Linked DNA regions of Astyanax mexicanus. The protein of the gene in region 1 interacts with the protein of each later gene in a pairwise test. Links are inferred from orthologs where the notes say so. Each region holds a gene or a part of one and is shown on either strand. Other genes may lie near its edges.

What was found.
Region 2: the proteins of rel (region 1) and polr2l interact in binary tests that used the Homo sapiens proteins (3 or more experiments, as listed by UniProt). The two-hybrid records come from large-scale screens. The link is inferred for Astyanax mexicanus from reciprocal best matches to the Homo sapiens genes REL and POLR2L.

The regions. Positions count from the first base shown.
Region 1 is NC_064414.1:37,478,567-37,486,342, forward strand, and holds the start of rel (proto-oncogene c-Rel), read left to right. Parts: upstream 1-4,775; 5' UTR 4,776-4,854; coding exon 4,855-4,861; intron 4,862-5,588; coding exon 5,589-5,609; intron 5,610-7,054; coding exon 7,055-7,194; intron 7,195-7,315; coding exon 7,316-7,464; intron 7,465-7,776. UniProt on the Homo sapiens protein: Proto-oncogene that may play a role in differentiation and lymphopoiesis.
Region 2 is NC_064423.1:9,009,365-9,016,380, reverse strand, and holds the start of polr2l (DNA-directed RNA polymerases I, II, and III subunit RPABC5), read left to right. Parts: upstream 1-4,003; 5' UTR 4,004-4,108; intron 4,109-5,293; 5' UTR 5,294-5,315; coding exon 5,316-5,410; intron 5,411-7,016. UniProt on the Homo sapiens protein: DNA-dependent RNA polymerase catalyzes the transcription of DNA into RNA using the four ribonucleoside triphosphates as substrates.

The DNA.
Region 1 (7,776 bases):
CAATCTTTTCCTTTTTTTTTTTTTTCTTTCGTTTTTTTCTTAGGGCAAAAAGTTGTATTTCAAAACGTATTTTTGTATGTAATGTATTCTGCCTCCTTTAAACTGAGACCATAAAATTTCACAAAACCCCATCAACAGTGTGTTTGTCTTTACTGCTCATCTGTTTATAGAACTCTGTAAATTCCATTGTGTTGCATTGGAGAGTATATTTCCCCATAGGAAGTTTGGTGGAATAATACTTTTCTGCTCCTGCGCTGGACAGTGGGCCGAAGGAAACCTCAGGCACTCTGCCTCTGAGAGGAAAAGACAAGCTGTACTTAATCTGGCAGCGTGATTTAACCATTAAAACCCTTTCACATGGTGCAAGAAGTTTGAGGTTGTGGTTACTGGAAGTGAAGGAAGGAGGAGAAAAGGATGGGTAAATCCATGTATTACTTTGAAATGAGAATAGTAGTTAGTGTTTAGTTTATTTCTTAGGTTAAAAGTAATAAATTAAATACTGAATATGTTTTTTTTTCTTTTTCGTGTTCGGGAGAAAAGGGGGAAAAATAGTTTTCAGTTAAAGCTACTTGTTTGAGGACAAACCATCGCTCCACTTGATTGTTGTATTTGTTTATTGGCTGAGAAAAAGGTTCTGCCTTGATTTTGACTATGTAGCTGTAGTTCTCTAGGTGTGTAAGTGTTTAAAGTCGCCAATTTTCATTTTCTTTACCTGACCAGTCCGCTGGATCTTTATTACTTCCTTGTTCGTGTTTGCTTTCTGGGAGATTCCCATTCGCCAGTGTGCGCAAGTGACGTGGCGAGGGGATTCCCCTTTCTTATGACGGCGGGTAAGAGCAGTGATCCAGTCCCCCACAGCCGGTCCACACCTACTACTACAGCCCCCTCTAGACCGCTCAATTAGCGAATAGCCTGGATGGATTCGGGTACCGCAATGTGAAATGTAGCACAGGAGGTGATTGCACACATGGCTCGTGCACTGTCGGGTGAAAAATGCTCTTCAGATATATTCTTGCTTTTTTGATTCAAGAGGCTTTTATTATCATTTCATCTAAGTTCAAAGTGAAATGAACCAAGATGCAGCATGGAACAAACAGTACTGTATAGACGACAAAAATGCAAACGTGCAACAATAAAAGAGCACCATTTTAAAATGGTGCACTTTTATTGTAGATGTACATTCTGAGGTACAGCATATAATTAAGGTGCAGCTGCTGATTACACTAGAGGTAGGGAGGTAACAGCTTAATATTAAACTAGAAAGTTCTAGTAAATCGCCTAGACCCTCAGTTGATCAAATCATTTGATTTTACCCCACTCGCATAACGGCCTACTTAAGCTACTTTATTATCACCTCAAGACTATTGTAAAAGCGTTCCAAGATGGAGCCATCTTTAATAAAGGCTATAAATTTATGAATATTGCGTTGCTGTTGTGTTTTATTATTGAGTCTGCATTTTAGTCAGCAACATAGCTAAGGCCATAAAGCTAGATAGAAATGCTGTTCAGTTCGTGGCTGTTATAATTAAATTACAACTTTTTTTTCTGTCGTTTCAATAAATATATATTTATTTATTTTATATATGTTTAGGATTATTTCTGCTTGGTTCTGGTGCTCAACTCTATGAAAAATCTCCTCTAATTGCTCTTTTTCAAAATAATAACAAACCTTTTTTTTTGTGTGTGTGTGTGTGTTTACATGGGGAAAAAATCTATTATTTTAGGAAGATATATTAAAAGAAAGAAAGTAATGCAAACTCTGCATCCTAAAAGGCAAAGTGCATACAAAAAAATAAAATGTTCATTTTTGGTTTAATTACATCTTTTAATGTTGTTGAAGAAAAAATGCCAAATTGCCATTGGTTAATGTTGAAAGTTCTACATTAAATCACCATTCATTTAAAGGTAATAACAAATAATTGTTATAAATATTTAATGTAAATTTAAAGTGTTTAAGTAAGTTTAATGTAAACAATACATATTAAACCAAAATGTTGGCTCAATATGAAATTAATGTGCACAAATATCAAATCAATTGTTGGAGGTCCACATTGTTTGGAAGAAAATATGAAGATTAATCCAATGTTCATTTGCCCTCTCGGTTACAGTCTATGAAAAATAAATGTATAAATCTGATTATTAACTCATTTTTAACAGCCCTGCATCTAATCCTCGTTGCCATTATTGTAGTGTTGTCAGATAAATATGTACTTTGACATTTTTATTAAATAAATAATTAACGTTACTTATAAGTATCCTTACAAAACACACTTGATGAATACATAAAGCACATTAAAAAAAGAATCATTTTTTCAGACATATTTAGGCAACTTGTTAGAACTTACATCATGTGCTGTATGTCATCTAGCCAGTCCATCTCTCTCTCTCCCCTGAAGTCTTGTACAAAACCTACATTTGAAAGTTTTACCCATAGACCTGTACTTATATATAAGTATTTATACAAAATCTGTGGTTTCACCCTAATTGTGGCTCAAGCTCCATTTTGATTTTAAATGTTTTACATGAAATTGTTAAATTACCTGAAACAGTAAGTCATTTCCAGCAACCGATAATAGACATTGTTGTCAAATCCTTGATTCATGTGTTCATTATTGGATCCTGTATTATATTACTGTGCATGTTCTCAAATTTCTTATGACCCATACTGCATATGCGCTTTCACAGGCCCTGCTTAAACCAGTATCTGAGTTCAAGTGGCATTTCAATTGTTCTTGACACTGAATGTAATCACAAAATATTCCCAGCAGTGTGTTAACTTGTCCCAAGTGTTAAACCACCCCACATCCATATACAGGATATTCCTGCAGCAAAGAAGGGGCACACATCCTACTAGCAAATCTTTAAGAAACAGAGCAGCACTCTTGAAGATCACTCAAATGTTCTTGGGAAAATATGGTATGAAAAGTGTAGTTGCTCATATGTTCTGAGGAAAAGTGACCAGCAAAGGTCCAAACTCATTAAACAGTGTTGGTTAGTATGGCATGGCACAGACAGTCAAGGCCCTTTTGTAAGTATGTAAGGATAATGCGTGGATAACTGCAGTTCAGATTTGATCGGTTCCTCACACATAGGCCAACAATTGAATCTGCAAAACACAAACATTAGTAGTGAGTAAATGGTATATATTGTCGTATACATAAATCAACTGTAAGCCTTCACCCTTTGGCAAGCTTTCTGACAGTCTGTAAACATGATTTAACCATACTGATCATTCCCAAATGAAAGGAGCAGGAGCAAACAATAGGTTGTGTGAATGTAACCAAGAACTAACAATAGGGAGAATATAACACTGTTAGAAAACAAAAGAATGCACAGTTGTGTGTTTTATTAATAAAAAAAGTTGTTCTACCCAAAATTACTATAATAAAAAAATCTGACACAGAATAGGTATTATTTGGGTGGTGGGTCATTCTCGGCATTGCAGTGACAATGGACAGCATCCTTTGAATACTAAATAAGATCTCCAGCGGCACTGCTGTGTCTGATTCACTTGTACAACTGTGACACACACTAATACTCCACCATAAGGTCAGTGTCACTGCACTGCTGAGAATGTCTTAATATGTTGTGGCCACAAGTTTTTGTTATTTTTTTTACATGATGTCACTGTAAGGGGCGCCATAGTAAAACATTTGTATGACATTAGAATAATTATAAAAATATATAAATACACAATAGTTAGTAATCAGATATGTTGTTGGTCAGTAAAGTTATTTATAGGCTGAGTATCAAATTATTTAAAAGAATTAGCTTTGCTGAAGAACTATTTGGTTGGTTTGGTTGGTCCTTCAGTGAAGGACAAATTGGATAAATTAGGACGTGGAGGATAACTGTAAATATTCAAGTCTAGTCAAATGAAGTAGTTTTATTGTCAAAACTGCATTTGTACAGGACATACAAAGAATTGAAATTACATCACTCTCCTTCCCAAAGTTACAACAAGTAAAGAAAGTACAGAAAATAAGAATATAAATATAACAGAATGAGGGGCATTAGATGTACAATACAACAAGGGCACAAATACGTATGTGAGACAAAAGACACAAGACAATAGTGCAATAGTGATGGGGAGGGGGGGTTAACTAGGGATTGATGATACAGTCATATGAAAAGTTTGATTCTGATTAAGATTAATAGGGGTGCCCAACCTTTTTCATTTGACTGTATGTATAAACATAACCATTATAACAGTAGTGCAAATGTAGAGAAAAAAAAATTAAAAACCTAAGACTGGTAAAGTGAACGAGTGCATACAGTTCTTCTAAAAAATGCACAGTTGTAGGGGGAATTGAAGTTGTTTAAATTATTTTTTACAATTAAATTATTTTTGAAATTAAAATTATCATATTAAAATTATTAGGAATTAAAATTGTTAGGCCTTCTCGTGGTTTATTTAAACCCAGCTTACCTATCAGATAAATAGCTTTATAGACAATTTTGTTTAGTTCTCATCATTTTTTAATTATTTAGATCTTTATCAATGGACCAATAGAAAAATAAAATATTTTTTATTGATTTCTACTGATTTTTTCAAGCCTTTAAAAGTTTTAAGCTTTTACGTTGCCTTTTTTGGAGAAACGTTATGCGTTTTGTGTGATAGCGATAAAACAAATACATTTTAATCAAAATAAAATCCATTTTTTTAATGAAGTGCTACGTATAGTCTCCTGTGTGTGTGATTGGCTATGGACGTGCGGGGGGGGCGGAGCCAGGCGGCGGGGGGAATTCCCAAGCGCCCTTCACCTCTGGAGTAACACTTCACTCATTCACTTCTGAACATTCACACACACTCACGTACACACACTGATCGCTGCAGCAAGGGGCTCCACTAGAATGGATGGTGAGTTACAAGCTATTAATTAATTCACGCCTTTTAACAGCTTTCCTAGAATAATTATAATATCTGTGATATATATTTATATATAATAGGAGTACACAATCATCCAGACTGAGAGCTGTGACTAGTATAGCCTGCTGTTTTTGTTTGGTTAATGGATGTGATATGGAATTACATGAAGGTGTTAAACAGTTTTCAGTCAGAAGGTTAATGGATGGGGCTAGATTAAGATTTCTATGTGTTTACGTGTTTGATTCTAGTAATTGTTTTGTTGCTAGATAGCTTGTTACTTGTTGTAACTTGAATAACCAGTTCTCATGTGTTAAATTACTGATTGCTGCTTGTTTCACAATGTTTCAGAGGGAGTGTCGACTAGAAACAGTATGAAAACCAATCAGTGCATATGTTGTGTATATTATGTTTATAAATATAACTTCCTGACAAATTATATTAAAAATAAAAAATAAATAAATACATGAATAAATAATAATAGTAATAATATTTGATGGTAGAAAGTAAGCTGCCATAAAGATTTGACTAAAATCCATGACGAATAGGCTAGTCTAAATCTGCACCAGGAAATCAAAATGAGGAACCTCAGACTACTGGTTTTGACTTCAAGTTCCCATTTGCAGTATTGTCAGCAAATGCCTTGATTTTGCACTTGATTTTTCAGCTTATTGTTATTATATAATGTCCTGAAATATTTTGTCCTCTTTTTTTTGCACAGCTCATTTTCCCCCAATGAACAGTAAGTTCATATCATTCTTTTTAAAAAAGTGTAAAGCTTTTCTGTACAGCCAGCATGCTTATAACTATCTTATAACTATAACTGCCTTTATAACTTTCTTTTCTTTGTCTGCTTCCTTAATTTCTTTATTTCTTTTTTTTGTTCTACCACGGTTTGGGTTGCTTGGTTAAGGTAGTAGAGTAGTAGAGTGACAGCCACTTCCTGTCTATATGTGTGTGTGTGTGTGTGTGTTAGATAGCAACATGCAGAGCAGGTAGAGCAGAAGTGAGTACGTGAGGTCAGCTCAGGTAGAATATATCGCTGTACAACACAGTTATAAGGACTATATAAGGTCTGTGTGTATATACGTAGCTATACGCAGCTATACACAGAGCAGGAAGAGCAGAAGTGAGTGAGTGAGTGCTTGAGGTTAGCTCCTAGGTAGAAGATATTGCACAGATATTACACACAGCTATAAGGAGGCTGTCTGTGTGTAATTTATTCAGATCAAATCATTCTCATCCTCGTAAGTACAGTCTTAGAATTGTACAGGCCTGAAATGTGCTGAAATGTGAGTACAGGCAGTCACAAGGCAGACTGTCTTATTTAGACATCTGCACATCTGTATGACGAGAGGAACCTTACAACAGGAGCCGTGAGAGCCCTGAGTGTCATCTCGTGCCACACACAGCTGTGTAGTCTGAACAGGTGTTTAACAGAGCTTCGACAATCATAATCATCCTTTGTGGTCCACTGTGGTCCACTGAGATGGGAGCACTTGTGAGAAATACACTAGCAGGTGTAGCCGAAGGGGAAATTATTTGATGTGAGTTGTGTGTTGGCAGTGGTTTGAGCAGATTCTGAGGAATGTGCTGTGGTCTGCAGATGTTTAGATGTTTACAATACAGCGGGTCTCCGAACAACCTCAACATTTCTTCTAATCAATATTATACTGTCTGCCTGCTGTCTGCTTATCTGACTTGATGCTTGCTTAAAACCTGTCCATAATTAACTATATATCATAATCTTTGCCCTTATTCATTTTTTTTTTACATAAAAAATAAAATGTTTTAGTTCGATGTAGATTTCTTTATTAGTCAAGGCACTTAAAGGTACAATAAGTAGTTTTTCTGAAAAAGACATGTTAACAAAAACAATGTTTACCAGCCATAGGGTCTGCATCACATCAGCTTAAAATAAAGCAAACAAACATGTAGCAAAATTCTACATATTGCACCTTTAATAATAATTATAATAATGTAACTTACACAATAGAAAAGAACATAATGAAAAAGAAAAACAGATTACTCGCAAAAAGGAATATGGGGTGATATGTGGCTATTCATATGGATGGATCAGTTAGTTTCTGTGCCTTCTAAAATTAGCTGATTAAAACTGTTGTATATTAATTCAGTCAATACTCACTGCCTGACTCCCGTTCTCTTTCTTACCCTGTCTTTCATTAGTGGGAGAGCCCTGTGTTCAGATCTTTGAGCAGCCCAAACAAAGAGGCATGCGCTTCAGGTATAAATGTGAGGGCCGCTCAGCAGGCAGTATACCTGGAGAGAAAAGCTCTGATAATAACAGGACATACCCAAGCATTCAGGTACAGATTATTATTATTTTTGTTTTAAATAAAGATTTCTCCAATACATTACTTCACGATTTCTCTGTATATTGACCATTTTTCTAACTAACTACTAAATACTTTCTTTATTTCTTGTCAGATTTTGAATAACTGTAGAAAAGGAAAAGTGCGTGTGTCTTTGGTAACCAAAAACGAGCCCTACAGGCCACACCCACACGACCTGGTGGGAAAAGACTGTAAGGATGGCTACTACGAGGCAGAGTTTGGACCTGAACGCAGGGTGATTGCGTAAGTCAGCACTAGCTGTTAGCTAACTCATGAAGGCTGAATTAAAACATGCTGAATCGTAATGTTTTATACATTATATTTACTTTACACTCAGATGAAATTGTACTATAAATGAAGGAGTCAGTAGACAATGTTTAAAAAAAATCTGTTAACTAAAAAGATTCACAGTTTTTTTCTTTTTAAATCTCCTTTTGTCTTGTTGCCATTTTTTCCTAATGAAGTTAAAGCATTACTGAGCTCTACATCAAAGTCATTCCTGTCTGCCTCTTCTCTTTGTGGAGCTTAATGTCAGAATACCATACACCCACATAT
Region 2 (7,016 bases), on another chromosome or scaffold:
TTATTATAACAGCTGGTACCAGGAGAACACAAATGAGCGGTCGTTGACCGTTCCCCGATATGCTCTGAACCCCCGTCATCTGACTCCCATGTTTTAAACCCAAAATGACGTGAACACCTGGTGATGAGGCGTTGCTGAAATTATCTTATGTCAGCATGCATGGTGTTATGTTGTTAGGGCTGAAGATTCGCTGATGGCTCAAGATTTGCTGGTGTTTTGGCCTTGGAGAAACAGCACGGCTTTGTTCAGTAATTAGACAGTGTTTCACTCCCTGCGCACATGTCCTCCCTCACTTGACAGGTGAAGGCCTTCACGCGCACAGAGAGAGAAAGACTGTACTGTTTGTCAAACGTCTTTTGTATTTAAGCAAGGCCATGCAGAATGCACTATCTGCTGATTTTGTAGCTGTTAGTTAGAAAACATGCAATCACACAATGTGGTTCAGTGAGGCGTCAGTGGCGCGTGATTAGTCAGCCATATAATAGGTTCCCATACGTTAGCAAAAACTCCCTTATGTTATGTATCATGTGGGTTAGTTTGTCAGACTAAGGTCTGTGTCAGTCACATGCTTGTGAAAAACAATGTCTTACTATATGTGTGGTTTAGAGGTTAGTTTTCTATATAAATGTGTAAAAAATATACTGTGAGCGATAAAATGATCAAATATAGTGTTAGTATAAATGTGTGAATAATATGTGAATAATAAAATGATCAAATGTGGTGTAAGTATTGGTTAATGCATATAAAATACAAGGTTTTCACAGATGGTAAGTAATCATGATTGTTAGGTGTTTGTCAATATATTTCAAGGTAAACAAGGTTTCTTCGTAAGATTTCCCACAACAGTGTTTGAAAAATACTCAAATGTATTAGTCAGAAAGTAAAATAAATTACAATGGGAAAATTCTACCTATTTTACTCATTTGTAAACAGTAACAACTAAAACTTAAAAATGTATAAGAACATATACTCAGATACTATCGGTCCCCTGTGCACTTGTTGTGGAGTTGAGCTGCTGTTTTAAAGGTAAGATTTGTTAACATGTTTCTGTGTATGAGCTCAAAAGTTGATGTATGTAAGTATTAGTTCTATATTAAGATCTGTACTCAGTGTGCTCGAGTATAACGATGATTTTCACCTTCTGGCACAGGCTGGCTCTTGTAGCAGGTTAATTATTAACACATGTAGCCAGTGCTAACCCCTCTGTTCAAGCAAAGTTAGCTAAGTCTAGCTAGATTTACTGCTCAGCTGCTCAGCCCTAATAATAAACTGTAGCGCTATCTAGCAGTTTACAAAGTAGCAGTGTGCAGGTTCGTGGTTAAAGCGTTAGTTACTTTAAACAAGCTAGTTATCCACTACATGTTGTATTATTGGGGAAATATGTACATGGGCATGGTTTGCATATAGCTAATGCTAATTAGGTAACTAGCTTACCTAGCGCATTCACTGTTGAACATAATATCAGGCTTTTGACTCTTTGTTTGTTTGTTTCAAGACGAGTTCTATTGTCGATTATTGACGCATGTTTTAGTCAGTATAACAGGGTAGAGGTCACTGGTATAGCTTTTTGCTTCCAAATAAGTGAAGTTCGCAGAGGTTCTCACTCCCAGCTGGATAAATTAACTAGTTACTTTGCTAATGCTAGCTAATCTAGGTTAACTAGCTAGCTAAAGCATTTGGCTAGCGTGCTAATTTGTTGTGTGTAAGAGGTTGAAGACTGGATAAATTAACTAGTTAAATTATTTTGCTAACACTACCTTACCCAGCCTAGGTTACTTAGCTAGCTAAACCATTTGGCTAGCGTGCTAATAGAGAATAGAATCGTGATGTCAGCAGACATGAACAACGCAGTGCATTGTGGGATTTTAGGAAACTGATACTATGGCAGAGACAGGCAGAAATATATCTCTATATATATATGGTGATTAGTGGATAAATTAGCAGAGTTAATTTAGTGTGTGAAAGTGGAAGGTGGTTGGATAAATTACTAATCTAGGTCGGTTAGCTAACTTATCCAACCACCACCCTCTTCCACACACCGAGTTAGCTAGTGTGCTAGTGAAAACACTTTCCTAGTGAATTAGCTAGCTAGTTTAGTGTGTGGAGAAGGGTGGTTGTTAGATAAGTAAGATTGTTAACTAGCTATCAAGCTGGATAAGTCATTATGGTGATATTTCAATAGGTATAAGAGGCATGCACAGTGTGCTGGAGTTTCAAAAATAATTATGTTGCTAATAATTAGTAATTCCAAATGCACAACAACCCTTTCATTACCAGTGATTTTCTAGTTAAATAGCTAAGTGGTAAAAAGTTGAAACATGCTAGTTTTGTTGGTGCCAAGTTCTGCACTAGTTTTAGAAGCAGAGACTGTAGTTAAGGAGCTGGTTGGCAGTTTAAGAGTGACATTTACACAGTCTGATAAAGTAACTGAACTAATAATTTCAGTTGTATGAAAGTAAATGTGGACTCTTCTCTGTCTGCAAATCTGTGTGTGAAGGTCTAAATGTTCTTTCCTGTGTTCTTTGGGTATACCAGTTTTCATAAAAGATATATAAACTTTACAAACCATTTGTAAATGTTTATGAAGAGGCTGCCTGACTAAATTGAACACTGAATGATGTGCTGAAGCATAAGACTGTTTTTTGTGTAACTAATAATTATGAAGTAAAAAAAAAAAGTCCTGAACATAATGTTTGTTGCAAGGCCATACATTTTCTGTTGATTTAGTTCATTTGCAGCACTGCTCCTCACTCAATGCTGTGTACAAGCCAGCGTTTACAGACCCGTCACAAATTACTCCCTGCATCCTGCACTTAAACCCACCAGTCCAATAACATGTAGCGCTATAGGGACGATTTTTGGGACCTAGCCCATTTACTGGTGTATCTTGTAACATCAGTAGAATTCTCTTTGTCTATATTTCACACCTGATAGTTCCTAGATTGGCCTTTTCTATTCCCATCTCGGGACATGCTTTTCACTAGAACTACAATTCCCAGCAAATGAAAAAATCTCTTTTTCATGCTCTGCAGAATTCTATAACTGTTGTCTTCTGTTAATTTCCATGTGTATGTAAGACTGTTTATTGTGTTGTTTTTTTGTGTATTGCCTCTGTTTATCCAGCATTCTCTTATGGTTTATATTTTTGTGTATTGCCCTCTTGAGAATTAAATCCTCATCTACTTTTTACCGCAAGTATCTGACGTCAGTCAAAAATTATACAATCAGTTCTACAGAAATCACACACTAATTCTATTACTAGAATATATCTGTCTGTTTTGAATTATCTGAGTGTAGCTCACAGCAGCAGAACACATTCAGTAATAAATTATTAATGATGCACTTATACTAATGAATCCATTATTATTAAAAATGTTAGTATGTCTCTAGAGCTCTAAAGCAATATAGTAAGAATATTATATCCTGTGTCGGTTCTAGACCATTTCAACACGGGGGCCAGTGGTCTAGGGCCAGTGTGCTATATGATTTTACAGTGCTTTGCAGCATTAAGAATAAAGAGTTTGCATTCAGTATCATTCAATTTTTAATTTAGGAATGATTCTTACGTTATTCGCTCATATTTCATACAAACAGATGAACAAAAATCATCGTTAAAACTTTTGCTTTGCTTTAAAGTGTTGTACCTTTTTCTGTTTCATACACAATTTACATCAACAAATCAACATATTCTCAGTTTTAAGGTCAGATTATATTTTTACATTATTTATATATACATAATTTGCCTAGAATAAAATGTAGATATTACAGATGTATGAATTCCACTGATATTAGAGTTATTTGTTCTGAGTTACAATATATTTTCCAGCTACACTAGTTTTAGTTCAGTTTCTTACGTTTTCTTTTGTTACACTCATTGATTAATGCGTTTATCTGTTTCAATAAGCTTTTATTTTGTTATAAACTCTATATTTTCTCAAACTAGTTTATTAGTTAGTAGTTCATTTAGAGACTCAAAACTGAAAAAAGACTTTTATTTTGATAGAAAATCGTTTTGAGTGCTGAGGAACGTTGTGTTTCCGGTGTTGTGTTTGAGTCCGGATATATTTCTGAGGAACACCGAGTGTTGAGCGTGGTGGCTAAAGTGCGGGTGAGTGTTTATAATTATTATAATATTTGTAACATTTTACTGATAATTATATTCAGTATTAAACACAGTCCGTTGCAGCGCAGTTCACTCCGCGGGTTTAGCCCGGCGAGATTTACTGTGGACTGGGGTAAAATGCGGAATCCGTTAAAGTATTGTGTACTAATCTACATACCGTACTTACACAGATAACTAAGTTAACTATGTAGGTACTATCATTAATTCATGACTGTATTCTTTAATTCATTTATTTACTCTTTTATTCATTAATTTCCTCTAATTTATTGGTTTATTCTTTCATGTATTAATTTCCTATTTTATTGATTAATTTAATCTCTTATTCATTAAGTTACTCTTTAATTCCTTAATTAGCTTTTTATTTATAAACTTGTTCTTAATTAATTAACTTGGTCATGCTCTGTAACTTAATTTTAAGCGCAAAATCATAAGTCTCCTTCACTAGAGAGAGACATATTTTTATACACATTTAGCTACTGTTAATTTACTGAATTTAGAACATGTTATAATTAAGTGTATAAAGAAATAGTAAATAGATGCTGTGTCTAAATGGAAAAAGCCTTTTTAATTAAAAAAAAAAAAGATTTCTTCACCTTGCCCAAACACACGAGAAGCATGTTATTATAATTATTAGTGTCTCACAGAGAATTCTAATTTAATAATATAACACAAATGAAAATGCTTTTAGTGTATTAAACCAAGTTAGCAATAAAAATGCAAAACCCAGTTCTACTGATTATTCAAATCTGTTATATTTTAATTATAGCACTGTATTAAAAATGTTCCATTATTCAAATTTCAGTGAACTATGGTGTGTGTAGTAGTGTTAGAAATTAAGAGTATTAGAAGTTGAGTTGCTTTGAACAGTGCTTTAGATTTCCATACAGAATGAAAGGTAGATATAGATTATATAGCTGCATCTTTCTTACATTTTCTTTTTTTTCTTACATTTTTCTTAATCTTGTTAGTATGACTGTTTACCTTTACAGATTGGTCTATTTAGAAATGTATTCTGTTTGTTTTAGTTCAGAGAACATGTTGAAGGAATTGACAAAGTATAAATAAAATATGGAGACCAACAGCCCAAAGTAATCCAGTTCCTTACAGATATCACCTGTGGCTTCCAGTACTTTAAACACTAAAATTAATTTGATTTAATTCTGATTCCAGATTAACAAAGCATCTCTTCAGGATGATTATCCCAGTGCGATGCTTCACCTGCGGGAAGATTGTGGGCAACAAGTGGGAGGCTTATTTAGGTCTCCTTCAGGCAGAGTACACAGAGGGGTGAGTGTTGAGTAGAATGAGCTGCTTTAGAGAAATATAACACCATCGATATCGTCACAGGATTTAATATGCAACTATTTACTTACATGCATTTCTTCTCCATGAATAGGTTTAAAATAAGTTTTTTTAGACTTTTCCCCAGAACATGTGTAACAGTGTCTGGGGAGGTGGATCTTTTACCACCACTGTGAACAAAATGTAACTGCAGAGGTTCTCTAAAACTCACCGTCTTACACCAAACCCATTTAGGATGGGTAACTGTTTAATAATAGTTCTGTACAGTGGCGTGAAAAAGTATTTTGCCCCCCTACAGATTTTTTTTTGTTTTTGCTTTTTTGGTCATAGTGTGATTTTTCTGATTATCAAACAAACTTTAATATCAGACAAAGATAAGTAAAAGTAAGTAAGGATAATTTTATTTAATAAAGGTAAAAACTATATAAACCAATCTAGCCCTGTGTGAAAAAGTGTTTACCCCTAAACCTAATAACTTGGTTGTTCCACTCTTGGCGGCAACAACTGCAGTCAAGCTTTACTGATAACTGGCAACGAGTCTTTCACATCTCTGTGGAGGCATTTTGATCCACTCTTCTTTACAGAATTGTTGTAATTTAGACACAATGTAGAGTTTTTCCAGCATGAACGGCCTGTTTAAGATCATCCACCAGCCTCTAAACGAACTTTGACTAGGTTAACTCAAAACCATTGTTTTTTTTGTGAAGCCATTCAGAGGTGGATTTAATTGTGTGTTTTGGATCATTGTCCTGCTGCAGAATCCAAGTACGCCTGAGCTTGAGGTCACAAACAGATGGCTGGACAGTGTCCTTCAGGATTGTCTGGTAAACAGCAGAATTCCTGGTTCCATCTATTACAGCAAGTTGTCTAGATCCTCACATTACCACCACCATGTTTTACGTTCAGTATGATGTACTTTTTCAGAAATTATGTGTTAGTTTTACACCAATTTATTGGGACACACACTTTCCAAAAAGTTCCACATTTTGTCCTGGCAATCATTTAAGATGTTTTTTGGCAAATGGAAGATGGGCCATTGTATTCTTTATGGTCAGCAGTGTTTATTGCCTTGGAAATTGGAGACCATTTTCATCCAGTCTCCTTTTTATTATTGAATCATTAACACTGACCTTAACTGAGGTAAATGAGACCTGCAGTTCTTTAATAGTTTTTTTTTTTTCAAGTCAAGAGGCTCTTATTGTCATTATATCTGAGTACAGGTACACAGTGTGATGAAATTATGTTCCTCCGGAACCATGGTGCAACATAGAACAACAAGCAATAGACAACATAAAGTGCAGGAGTGACGACAGTGCAACATAAAATTATAAAATTATAACACTAAATAACAATAAATACAATAAATACAAAGGACAAGACAATTTAAAGACAGGACAGTGCAGTACCGATACGGTATAATAAGTGTATAGTGGGGATAAGGTGCGGAGATGTGTGACATACTGTAACATATAGAACATATATAATCACAGCAGTTACTGAGGTAGAGTTTATAGTTTTTAAGAGTGCAGCAAATAAAGTCATGTCAGCCTCTGTGTGCTGACTGGGTGTGTGTGTGGGTGAAGTTCAGTTC